Drosophila melanogaster: one gene and its partner. The gene in region 2 interacts genetically with the main gene of each other region. Each region holds a gene or a part of one and is shown on either strand. Other genes may lie near its edges.

Region 1 (4,904 bases), on a different chromosome or scaffold from region 2:
AGAACGCTGAGGAGCTGAAACTCGGACTCTCGGTCTCGCTTGGTTTGTCCGTAAATTACAGCCTCGTCTGCACCGTTTCTATATATGTACATATATATATATTTATTTGTTTGTTTGTAGCCCGCGAGAGAGATGTTTTCGTATCGGCCTTATGTATTTTTAGGCTGCATCTTAATTCCCGGGACCAGTTCGCCTACACAAGTCGTCGATTGTCGCCCGTTTTGGCTGTATTTCGCCTTTAATTCTTCATTTTTTCTCGCGTAATATTTTTTTGCAGTTAATTCTCCTTTCTGATTGCCTTTTAATAAGACAACCCCAGCCGATTCTTGACCAGTTGAGTGTGGGCTTTATTATGAGTACTGCCCCTTTTTTTCGCTTTGTTTAAGTATTTTTCTCGTCGATATTATCTTGTTGGCTGGACTGTGCTTTGTTTTTTATTTCTTTGTAATATCTTATTTTTTTTTGTTTTGGCGTGTCATGTTGCCTTCCCAGCACTTGTGTTTGTGTAGGTGTCTTGTTTGGTCTTTTGTTTTTTCGCCGCGCTCGCTTGATAGTTTGTTTAGTCGTTTGTTGTCTTGGCTGTTAAAGGCAACTTGCAGGGGCAGGCAAGTTAATGACTAATGTGTTAGGGCTTTCGAGGGATATATGCCTTATACAATTTAGCATTAATATATGGCAGGAAGCGTAAGAACGAGTGAGTGAATCATGACAGGGCCGCGCTGCCAAACTTCATTAAGTCGCCGCAAGTTCGTTGCCTCAGTCATTCGTTTTTTTACCAAAAAAAAAGCTCCAGCACGCCCCCGACAAAACCGAAGATCGTTTTATTCGACCATCACTCCAAATGGCCACAAATTGTGTGTGTATGTGCACTTCACGACCAAAAACGAGGTCACTTTGTCGGTTTTTCAACAAAATCGAAAAGAAAAAATAAATACTTATTGTGTTTCATTACGCGAATGACATCATGGCAGCGCTATGGGAGCTTCTCAAGCTTTTTAGCCTTGCACTCCCCGATCTTAACTCTGATATTTATATTTAAATTTTTGCGTATAGTATATAGATAGAAAAAGTGCTTACCTTTGGCCTGGGCTAATCCGCAGAATAGGGCCGCCAGCCACAGAGAGCGCCACATTTGCATTGAGAGCAGCATTTTCCAAAATTTCCGGATCTAATTGGTCGGGGTAGAAACGGAAAGACAAACGGCATATTATTACAAGCATTTCGAACGAACCGAAGCCGAAGCAACGGCACATGCTCCACAAGCGGGCCAACATTTTATTTGTTATTTGTATTCTTGGCCTGGCCTTTTTGACGTTTTCACAGACACAATTCATATATGTAGGTACCATAACATATATATGTACCGCATCGCAAACACACACAGCGAGTTATTATGAAACAAAGCCAGAAGAGAATGCCCGTCAAGTGGCTTGCGGCGACCGCTCAACAAATCAAAAACCAATGACAACGGCAAATAAAAAACGAAACGAGCCGCGAACCACACACATATCACACAAATTCACACAAAACTCGGAGCGGGTCTTACTTGACGGCTGCAATATGGGGAAAACTCGGAACTCGAGACTCGAAACCACACCGAAGAGCACACCACACGTCCAAGCTGTTCGCTAGTCGCCAGGCAACTGAGGCTCAGCTCGGCTGCAACTTCATTACCTCGGGAATCGAGAGCCGGCGTATAGAGATGCTGACTCAGTTTCAGAGCAGAAGTCGTTCTTATATGGCAGAGAGTGCAAAACTATAGTGAAAGCACTCAATGTTAACCAATTGGTTAATTACCCAAAAGAAATGTAATAAGTACGTATGTATATAAGAAGATAAGTGTGCCGTTTTATCCGAATTATTGCAACATAAATCTATATGCATTTTTATTATATTATGCTTTCATTGGTAAAAAAAAAAATCCTTAGAAAATATTTTAAGAATTTTGAATAAGATAGTGTTGAATAATTATTTAACAAACGGAGTTTTCAAAAGTTAGCTATAAACTAGCTAGTGAACCAACGCTCTTAGGCATTAGAGCGTGGACAGTGGGGAAAAATGCTAAGGCGCCATCTAGCCCCTGGCTGTTCACAGTGCATAAATAAAGCCGGCAATTACGAAAGTGCTACATTACAATTTATGGATATACTTGAATACATTTAGATAAGCAGAGCACAATTAAAATGACCCACTGTAAGTCGCTCTCTCGCACGGAGCATCTCTGTCGCACGGCGAAAAAGAGAGCGACTTTAGCAAGTTAGCTTAACCGAGAGGCTGTAAAATACGGTAAAAGGATCGCTCTCACTACCGCTCTTTTCCGCTCTCTGCCGGAGATAACAATCAGCCGGTAAGTTTGTATAATTTTTTTTTTTGTCCCATGACAAAAACTGAGAAATTGTGGGAGCAAAATCTTACAAGCAATTATGCAATCTCGTCTCCGGCTTTTTTGTTGCGTTTGCTGTTGTTGTTTTTGTTGCACTCGCTATTGTTGTCAAAACAAACATTTATGTAATTGCGCTCGCTGTCAGCACGAACTGCCGGTTCGTTCTCAACGGCCACAGATGAGAACAGGGAAGTAATAGTTTAAAATGAGCTAAATGCAGCAGCTGTTATGGATATTTTCCCTATATATTTCGCTATATGTACTAACGGTACACTTACACTTCCGCCAAAACTAAAACCGTTCTTCAGCTGGTCATCTACTGCATTTTCCAGAGCCCAAGGCGCAGCCCGTGAACCCAATTTCACACCTCTTGATTTCGCGCGTGCTTGGGCATTATTCATGATTCTCCTACTTGTTAGTTTTCCAAACCAATGGCCATCCCATCATTAAACGGATTAGAAACATTTATTTGTGCATACTTACTGGCCATACACTACTGGCCCTCTTGAAAAACGGTAAATGACGTGCAAAATAAAGGCAACCAGCCGAGCGCACTAATTTAATTTGCTAAATTCAACTCAAAATGCCTTATTATTACTTTGTTGCACCAGTTGTACGGGAATATTTAGCTCAAGCATCGGCCAATATTAAGTTAAGCACAAATTGTAATAATTAAACACTTGCCACTTGCAAAAGAAATTAACCAAGTTCCCCGTTCCTCTTTGCACACAATTTGCCGATCTGGCAAGTCTGTGACGAAGCGAAAGAGGAATGGGGAAGAACCGCAACAGCTGTCATCTCGCTCACACCTAACGGATTGCGGATTTCCGAGAAAAGCGCAACTGGATTTTTATAATTTTACGATTTCACAGATTTAAATGTTGAAACATTGGACATTTAAAGGCCGGGAAGTGTGCAATATAGCTAAGATATAAATACACTGACACACGACCCGCCCTGCAAATGTTTATGTTTTCGCAAACACTTTTTTTTCACTTTTCGATGTTAATTCTTGATATTTTCAGGCCGGTGAATGTGCAATATATTCGACAAATGAAATATTAACCCATATACCGTCCGAAAAATGATCTAGAAATTTCGATTTTTCACCGTCTTGCCGCCTATTGCAAGGAGTTTAAAAACACAACAAAACTAATTACTTTGCTCATAAAATGATTCGTTTTAAAGTAATCAGGCCGTCTCAAGTGCAATACTAGTTAAAAAATGCAGAATTGCCCTTGTGACGAACCAAATCGCTTCAAACTTAATTCACATTTCTAATAATTTAAAAATGCTAATTGTTAGTATAAGGCAGTTGCTAACATTTTCGGGCTGTGAAAAGTGCAATACTCAATGTTAAAAAAACAGTACTGCCCCCATCCGCAGCAGAAAATTGTTGGCTAGAACGATGTCGGGTAATACGTTTCAAACGACCACTCGCGACGACTCTCGGAATTTGAATGCCGGGGGCAAAGAACGCAAAGAAGATCCCGAAAAGGAAAAATCACAAAACGGGACACAATGGAATGCAGAGGTTTAGAGCGGGATGACAGTATGAACTTCGAACTCTCAAAACATCCAAAGTTTTTGCTCTACTCTACAACTTTCGGGAGAGAGAATATTCAAAATGGCGGCAACGCGAGGAAATCGAAGGAATTCGCGAGATACACATTTTTTTTTAACACTTAAATATGTATGTACATATTTTAATGAATCGTTAGCTTAGCTCGTGAACTTTTATAATAGCAAACAGAATACCATATTTTTTTGCCCTTCGATTTACTATTTTGAGTTGATGAGTGATGAAATATCACATTTTTGTGTTTTTTTTTTCAATCTGTGCACTTTGGTGTAAGTTTTCTGAAAATAAGTAAGACGGGAATGCCAGTTTTGTAAAAAACACAAAAATAAGCATAACAGCCTTTACTATTTTAAGGAGATTATGGCAAATGTGAAAAAAATATCACATTTTGAATTTGTACACTTCGGTGTTAGTTTTCTAAAAATAGGTAAAAGACGGTTATGCCAATTTTGTAAAACAAACAAAAACAAGCATAAATATCACATTTTGTCTTTTCTAAAAATAATTAAAATTGGGTTTTCTAATTTTTTAAAACACTCAAATATAAGCATAACAGACTTTTTCCTATTTTGAGATTATGGCAAATTTGCTTAAATATCACATATTTGTCTTTTTTTTTTTGATTCCGTACACTTAGGTGTTAGTTTTCTAAAAATATATTAAGTATGTTACACAGATTTTGTAAAACACCTAAAATATGCAAAACGGACCTAAATAATTTTAGAAAAAACCAAGTTGAGTGGCGATTTCTAATGCAAAACCAAAACTTTCCAAACTACAACTTTAATAGGACGTTAAAATATGTATTAATAGGTGTAGTTGGGAAAAGCCTGAAACTGCAGTGATAGTTTTGATATCCTACGCAGGTAACTTTCTCGAAGTACTTAGTACCAGAAACGTGTACTTTACATAAACATAAAAAATAACACTTTGCTGATA
Region 2 (7,921 bases):
ATATAAAAGTAAGCAACTAATATATAATAACAGTCAAATGGCTTATATAGAGTAATATCCTAAACCCCTTCTGAAATCAAAGAATACTTTTCATAATATAGCATCACAATCGATATTTGATTTAAGATTGATCTCCAGCTAATTCTGATCCATTGTAGACTCGTTCGTGAATATATGATATTCATTTCGATATTTTTCGATATGAGGCTTTGCGAAACACAGTGTGTGATGATATGAGGAAAACAAAGACGATCTCAAGTGATACGAGTAGGTTAGGATCCTTTTGCTAACTTTGAAACACACCATCTTTGTTCTTAGTGAATACGTATGCGAAGGCTCTGTATGACATCGAATAGATATTGCTTATTGGAGGATATGGGGATCGTGGATAAATATAAATAGCAGGTGGCTGAATCCTTGGCTGGGCTGCTCCTTTAGAGGAAGGCCTTCTTGCTGGTCTCCTGGGCCGTGGTGGTGGTGGTCGAGATGCCCAAATCCTTGCCCACACTCGCTGTGGTGGACACCGCAATGCTGGGTAGTGGTGTTGCTGGTTGTGGTGCACTAGTGGCTCCAGTGGCTGAAGTAGTTCCAATTCCAGACGCTGTCATCCCCCCAGCGGAACTCACGGGGGGAGGGGGCGTGGCTGCCAGGGGGGTGGGTATACGGGGCTGAAACGTAGGCTTGCCCATCGCCAGGGCAGGATTGAGATCCAGCATTGTCCGGGGACTCATGGCCACAATGCTTGCGCCCAGCGGACCTGCGAAAAGTTGAGCAACTTTTTGTTTTAACCCCGCCACAGAAAGGATTATCAGTTTCGGTTTCGGGTGGATAGGAAGTAGGTGGAGTAGGTGGAGTTATATAGCCGGAAACAATAGATAGATATAGCAGTGGGAAGTCCGGGAAGAGTAAGAGAAAAACAGAGAAAGAAAAAGAGAGAGAGAAATAAATATTATTTTCATTAAGTCGGTTAGTCAAGCTGGAGTTTCCAAATCTGGTAAACTTTGATTTTCATATGGCAGGTGGGAGGCAACTTTGTTTTCTTATTTTTTTTTATTTTTTTTCAAAATTGCTGATGGTATATTACTGGGTGCACTTGGTTACTACGATATACGAGGGTTGGTGGTGGTGGTATTCTTGGGAGGGGTAAGTGTAACACGAACATGATTACAAACATCACACACAACTATGGAAACACTAATCACACTCCAAGACTCAGGTCAAAATCGGGTCACATGCAGCATGCTCGGCAAATAAACACACACATAAGGCTAGATACAATATCTGCAAATTACGTTCGGCCAAGATTTCCGCTCGGTTGGATAAGTTGGACTCAGGCAGAGTGGGGGGGGGGTAAAACTTTGTAGAATCAAATGCTGGGAAATCGGATTTGTGAAGGTGGCTCTAAACTCTAGAGTTTCTGCTTGCTACGAACTAGTTTCCAAGTTTTTCAACTATTTGACACTTTTAGTTGGGGATTTTTCGGGTTGGAAGAGAGCAAGAAAGTTGGAGGTTGTTAGGGGTAGTTAATAAAGGTTTCTTAACCAACACACACCCGCCCAGCAGAGTCCGAGTTTTGGTTAGCTGATAGTTAGATGATAGATGAACGAACCGGGGATTTCTTATTTCGTATATAACTGAGGTTTCGTTTTGATTTGGTTTCGATTTTTTTTTTCGATTTTGTTGCCGAGTTTTTCTTGTTTTTTTTTTTTATACTGTGTTTTGAGCTGGCTTATCAAATTACAAAATATCTTTCTGGTTCTGTTCTGTTTTCTGTTTTAGTCGAAACTGAAGGCCATATCTGAAATACAAAAGTTCGAGATAATACAAAGTATATTCCAAGTTTTTCGATCAATTACATAGCTAGGGGATCTCTGATTCGGGGCAATTAGACTAGAACGAAAGGTCACAAAGTTACACACGCACACATAGAGAATGACAGAGGATACGTTTACATATCTGATTAAAGTAGTATAGTATCTTATACACTGCTAACGAAGAAACGAACGAGCCAGAACTGAAGAACAACACGTACACGATATATATAGAATATAATATAACTTATGTAAAGATAGGTGGAGAAATAGAGAGAGAGAGGAAAACACGTAGAAAATTACATATTGTAGTTATATATACGATTATATAGCAGTTTGAAGTGGTAGTAGTAACAGTAGATATCAGTAGCAGACGTCGTCCATATTCAAAGTAACCATACGAATAATCATATATCTATGGCTATTTGGCATCCAGATCCACGTACCACAATCCGATTTGGTCTATATCCGCTATATGATCTTTATCCAGTCCCTGGGTTGCGTTTTCTTTTACTCTCAACTTTTCCTTCGTTTACTCATAGATCAGTTTGCCAAATTCTTATACAGAAAGTATCATCATCATCGCATTGCAATTTCTAGCTTGGAAGTAATGGTATGGGGAGTTCTTGGGTTCTTCATCTGGTTCTGTTGTGGTTGTTGTCGTATCGTGGTTCATGTTGTTGCTGTTGTGTTTGTTGGCTTAGAGCAGCCTGCTCTTTTTGCCATCGCGCGGTTTGCCAATCATTGTTGTATATTCATCTATTTACACAAGATTTTTGGGGTTTGGATTGGATCGTTTATCAATTAAATGAAATTATATTAAAGTAAACGAAAGTGTTTCGGAGCATAGATATCAAAAATCAATGGTTGAAATAGGTACATATATAAAATAGAGTCTCGTATCTGGGTATAAAAATGATTGAAGAAAGGGAAAATATATATATTGCGATACATATTCTTGTATTTTGCTGACTCAATGGAATAAAGTACATCCCAAACTGATTGAAAGGCGATGACTTTCAATATACAAGTATGCCTTCGATGGATGAAGAAAAAGTAAAGGTCTGCTTAGTACATATATGATATGGAAATGACTCGAGTCTTTGGCTTTACGCTTGGAGTTCAAGTAATTTGTAGATCGATAAGTATGTTAAAAGAATTAAGAGAAGGTAAACAATATTTGTAGAAATTTCTATTTGACTAGTAATAATTCTTCCTTAACATTCCCATCGATTTTCCACTTGAACTCCATGAGACACCATTAAATTTCCTTTGAATGATTTGCGTAAAATTAAAGCTAAGCTTGAAATTGTAAAACTGGAGTATGAATAAAGAAGCCTTAAATGCATGGTAATTACATAGAGTACATATATACACGTACACGACGATTGATATGTTATATAATGGATATAGTTTAGCCAAAAGGGGAAGCGCACCCAAAATCAGGGGTCGTTATGGGCAAAGATTCGCATTTCGTGGCAGCATTTACTGGGCTCTTAAATTAATATCTTTTACTATTAATATTCATTTGCCAGGAGAAACTGCGAGACGGCACAAAGGATAACGAGTATTTATAACTGGGTTGTGTATTGCAAAGTTAATCCATTGAACTCGATTACTTTTGAACTTCAGGGTGCAGCTGTGCGAGCTTTTTAAGACAGGTTAAGAACTTGTATTAGCTGGTTTGCTCGTCCTCAGTACTTTTAGTGGAAGACATTAGGTTTTGGCGGTGCCTTTTTGAAGCTATGTTCGATTCCAATAGGTTTTATTTTACTTTTTATTTTGTACTTTGTTGGTGGCTTTAGCTTTGGCTTGCATTTTGCTTGGATTGCGGGAATCAGTGTGATGTAACTCCATTAAGGACACTCAGAGACTCACCTGACTTGGGGCTGACCAGGTCCTTTGTTTTATTGTTCATGCGACGTGGTCCAGTACCGCCGGATCCCATGGGACCGGAGTGGGGACCCGAGCCCGGGGTACCGCAACCACTGACACCACCAGGGGCACCTGAAGGATACAATAATCCCAATTAGTAAGTAAACAAAATTCTAGCTAGTATTTATGAATATATAGTAATAATCAGCTCGTCTATTCCCACTATTTCTCTAACTACAATAATTTACGCCATATTGTAAACACGCCTCATTGCTTAATTTATTATACACGATTCTATTTGCATTATATTCGCATTAATCGTAATTTACGATATATTCGAACGTCTCGGATAGTAAATGCAATTTCAATAAATCAGCAAATGAAAGCTGGATGCTTGTGCATTTTCTAGAAAATATTCGTATTGAATAGATTATATATTCTGAGTTTGGATTGAAATTTCCTTATCTTTTGTTTATGCTGTATGACTAACTATGAAGGTAGATCCACTCACCTGGCAGTCTGGGCTGGCGCGGCTGCTCGACGGGAAGCACTCGTCTCCGCTTCTTTGGCAGTTTGGCCCTGGCCTGCGTGTGCGAGTAGTACATGGCGAAGTTGCTGACGATGACGGGCACTGGCAGTGCGATGGTTAGTACGCCGGCCAGGGCGCAGAGGGCGCCCACGAACATGCCGATGTAGGTTTTGGGGGCCATGTCGCCGTAGCCGACGGTGGTCATTGTGACCAGGGCCCACCACAGGCCCAGCGGTATGCTGTTGAAGTCGTTGTGCGGATTGGGCTGGATGCGCTCCGCGTAGTAGACAAGGCTGGCGAAGATCACGATGCCCAGGACGAGGAAGAACACCAGCAGGGTCAGCTCCTTGGCCGAGGCCCGGAACGTCTGGATCAGGATCTTCAGTCCGGACGAGTGGCGCGTCAGCTTGAACAGACGCATGATGCGGATGATCGAGAAGAACTCGAGGATGTCAGCGTTCTCCAGGTGCGATGCGAACCGCTGAAGCACTAGATCGATATAAAAACTAAGCGTCGCTATGTAGTCTATGATGTTAACAGATGACTTGATGAACTCCCACTTGTTCGGCGATGAGATAAAGCGCACCTGGATAAAAGGATATAATATTTATTAAAGGTCTTTACTAGGAGTTTCTAAGCAGTTATGATCTCTGATTTGATCTCTTACCAATATTTCAAAGGTAAACCAGGCATTGCACACGCATTCGATATAGAAGAAGGCTATGTGCGCATTGGTCTGCGTTTTGTCCAAAAACCAGCCATTACTTCCATTCGCAGTTTTCACTGTAATGTTCCGGACGATGGGTACCCGCATATCGGGATGGGTCTTCAGGCAGAACGACAGGATCGAAATGCAGATGAAGAACACCGAAACCACGCCAATAGTCTAGAAGTTAGACGAGAATTGGTAAAAATATTATAATTAAATAAATCTAGTATCTATAGAAATTTGTTGGAATGATTAATGTGCTTATATGCTTTGATATGCATTCACTTGAAATAAAAATAGATGTCTAGCCGTTTGTGTATATAATAATATAATTACTTATTACAATGCTTTTAAAGTGGATTTTTCACTCATTCGGAAAATTGTTCAGCATGCATATATCTTAATTGAAAAATGAATTAAAGTGTTTCCTCTGACACATGCAATTTTGCATGGAAATGATGAAAGACTTTGATAAATATAGAATGCAATAAACATCTATAGATTTGACTTACCTTGGCTGCATTGGAACTGTAGGGCTCATCGAACAAGGACCAAATGCGCGGCTTCATTTCCTGCCACCAGGATATTGTGCCTTTGTAGTAGTCCTCCTCGAAGCCGAATTTGCGTGCCAATTCCTCTTCGGACGGTTTTTCCGTATCCAGATCGAGACGATCGAGTACGGCTAGGGTTTCCTGGGTGTCGCGATGCTGCAATAGATAAAATAAGGCTTTAATTTTACGAATTTTTAAATATAATATGGCACTAACCTGTGTGTAGGTCATCCAACAGCAGGGCTCCACTTGGTTCGAGTCTAGGCCCCAGAACTCCAATTCCTCCTCAAACAGCGGACCGCACACATCCGTGGGATAATGCAGCTTTCCAGTTCTGTACGATTGTGAAAAGTTAATAATATATAACAATCGGATTCTAGGACACCCACCTGTAATAGTTGAGCACTTGTGCGAAGACGCCCGGATGCCGATCAAAGAAGTACTCATTCAGTATCGGATCATAGTTGGCCAGCGCCTCTGTTAATCGCGATAATCGCGTAGCCGGAATCTTCTTCAGCGTGGCCTTGTAGGTTTCGTGCCTAATGCCACCCACATTGAGCACCACCCTGTTTTCCGAGTCCATGTTGATCAGATTCATGGCTGCATGCGCATAGTGTTGCATTTTTTTAGGTATATAAGTCATTGTCTGGATCAAGAGCTCAAAAGCCAACCAAACGGTGTGAGGCTGAACGGTTTCTTTTTGTATAATTTGTTAAATTAAATTAAGATTAAACAAATAAGGTAATAGGTAAAGTAAAACTTCTGTTTGTGGTTTTTGCTTGAGGTGCTTTTAAAACCTTAATGTTTCTTGCGTGAGTGTGTTTTGTGTGGGCTTATGTTTTCTATGGTTTTTGGGACTTCATTGTTCTGATTTTACGCTATCCAACCTGAATGCTTTTCGTTGTCCTTGCCCACGATTTATGCAGTTATGCCTACCACTCCGTCAAGGCACCACTTCGATCCACTCTTCGGCACCCAATGGGGATCAGGCCTCAGGACCTAGTACCACCACTGGAAAATATTTGCCCAGATGTTAGAAACACCTCCATTGATCCTTGCAATCTAGCTACTCACTACGTTGGGGCTGAGTTGGACAACATGCCGCTGCAATAGAAAGGTTTACAAATATTATCTCACCACTTTAAATTCTTTCTTTTACTTTGGTTGAAGTCATATTTAGTATAGAAAGTTTTCGGGGCATTCGTGAAGTAATTACACATTCATTTTAAGGAGACGTATGGATCCCTTCAATTTAATGGTTCATAATTATGAGTTTAATGGCCTAGACACATGTGCTGCATATCCAAAACGACTTTTATATACGCACGCACAACTATTTTTAGGAACAACTAATTTAGAGGTTGCCCATGGAAAATGTAATATATTTTGGGGAAATATTTCTACACTTACTACTTTAAAAATTTTTAATAATAATTAATTGCTGATCAAATCTCTTGACCTCGCCTCGCTAAGTAAGGCATACAAATTATTGATTCTAAATCAATATTTGGGATATACAAATCATTGGGAAACTCAAATATTTCATATCATTTCAGATGCGTGGCCAAATTTCGCACATCTTCGGATTATGGAAGAATACCGGGCAATTTTGTTTACCTAAAAGATAATGATCATAGATCAGTTATTCCAAATCGAAATGATTCAGTTATGTATTAAAGTGTGCCGGATGGAATCGGTAGAAGTAACGCTTTCTTTGAATTGATGTATGCATCCGATGATTCAATGCCTGGATTCACTTTATTTAGCGAGTACTTCTACGCCGCATAAATTTTTAGAATCAACAAACCCAACGCTCAAGCTAAGGCCATTTAATTGGAAAATAGGCAATAATATTCGCTTCGATTGAATTGACCCATTAGCAGCTCGTGAAGCGCATCCCACCGATGATTATTGTACCTTTTTCCGAGATCTGACTAAATATAGTTGAGCCATATCATCGATAGCGTCATCAATTTAGGAGAGTGGCACGAAAAATACTATTTTTTGGTATATAATAAAAAAAATATATAAAAGGAGCTGAACGTAACGGAATAATGAAATTGCCTTTCGTGATTTGCACAAAAGGCAAATATTTGTTCTTAAACAATATTTAGTTTTGGCGCTGCATTGTTTACACTCTCGCACGCACCGATACAAATGTATCTGGGTACTGGGTACTCTCCGCTACAGCTGCGGCCAAGAAGATAATTCCGGAAACGTCCTGACAGCCGAAATGCAGTAGTAAAGGATAAAAGTGTTAGCATGAAACTAAATGAACAATAGATAGATAGAATATATTTATTGCATACTTTTTGACGATTTTATATATTACTAAAAATCTCTGATTTCTGCGGCCATTTTTTGGCTTTGTGTATATACTTGATGTATACTAGATGGTTTGTGAAAAGGGGTCTATTGTGTTGGCCCGGGCTGTGTGCACATCATG

Evidence for each region.
Region 1: of Shaw (region 2) and qsm, changing one suppresses a phenotype caused by changing the other (phenotypic suppression), as found in Drosophila melanogaster (one study listed by BioGRID).

The regions. Positions count from the first base shown.
Region 1 is NT_033778.4:20,580,484-20,585,387, forward strand, and holds the start of qsm (quasimodo), read right to left. Parts: upstream 3,109-4,904; 5' UTR 2,867-3,108; intron 1,650-2,866; exon of another isoform or gene 1,547-1,649; intron 1,169-1,546; 5' UTR 1,151-1,168; coding exon 1,078-1,150; intron 1-1,077.
Region 2 is NT_033779.5:3,719,533-3,727,453, reverse strand, and holds the start of Shaw (shaker cognate w), read right to left. Parts: upstream 6,119-7,921; coding exon 5,865-6,118; intron 5,810-5,864; coding exon 5,692-5,809; intron 5,632-5,691; coding exon 5,437-5,631; intron 5,102-5,436; coding exon 4,883-5,101; intron 4,802-4,882; coding exon 4,198-4,801; intron 3,819-4,197; coding exon 3,690-3,818; intron 2,571-3,689; coding exon of another isoform or gene 2,512-2,570; exon of another isoform or gene 2,258-2,511; intron 1,799-2,257; coding exon of another isoform or gene 1,776-1,798; exon of another isoform or gene 1,553-1,775; intron 776-1,552; coding exon 435-775; 3' UTR 1-434. UniProt on the Drosophila melanogaster protein: Mediates the voltage-dependent potassium ion permeability of excitable membranes.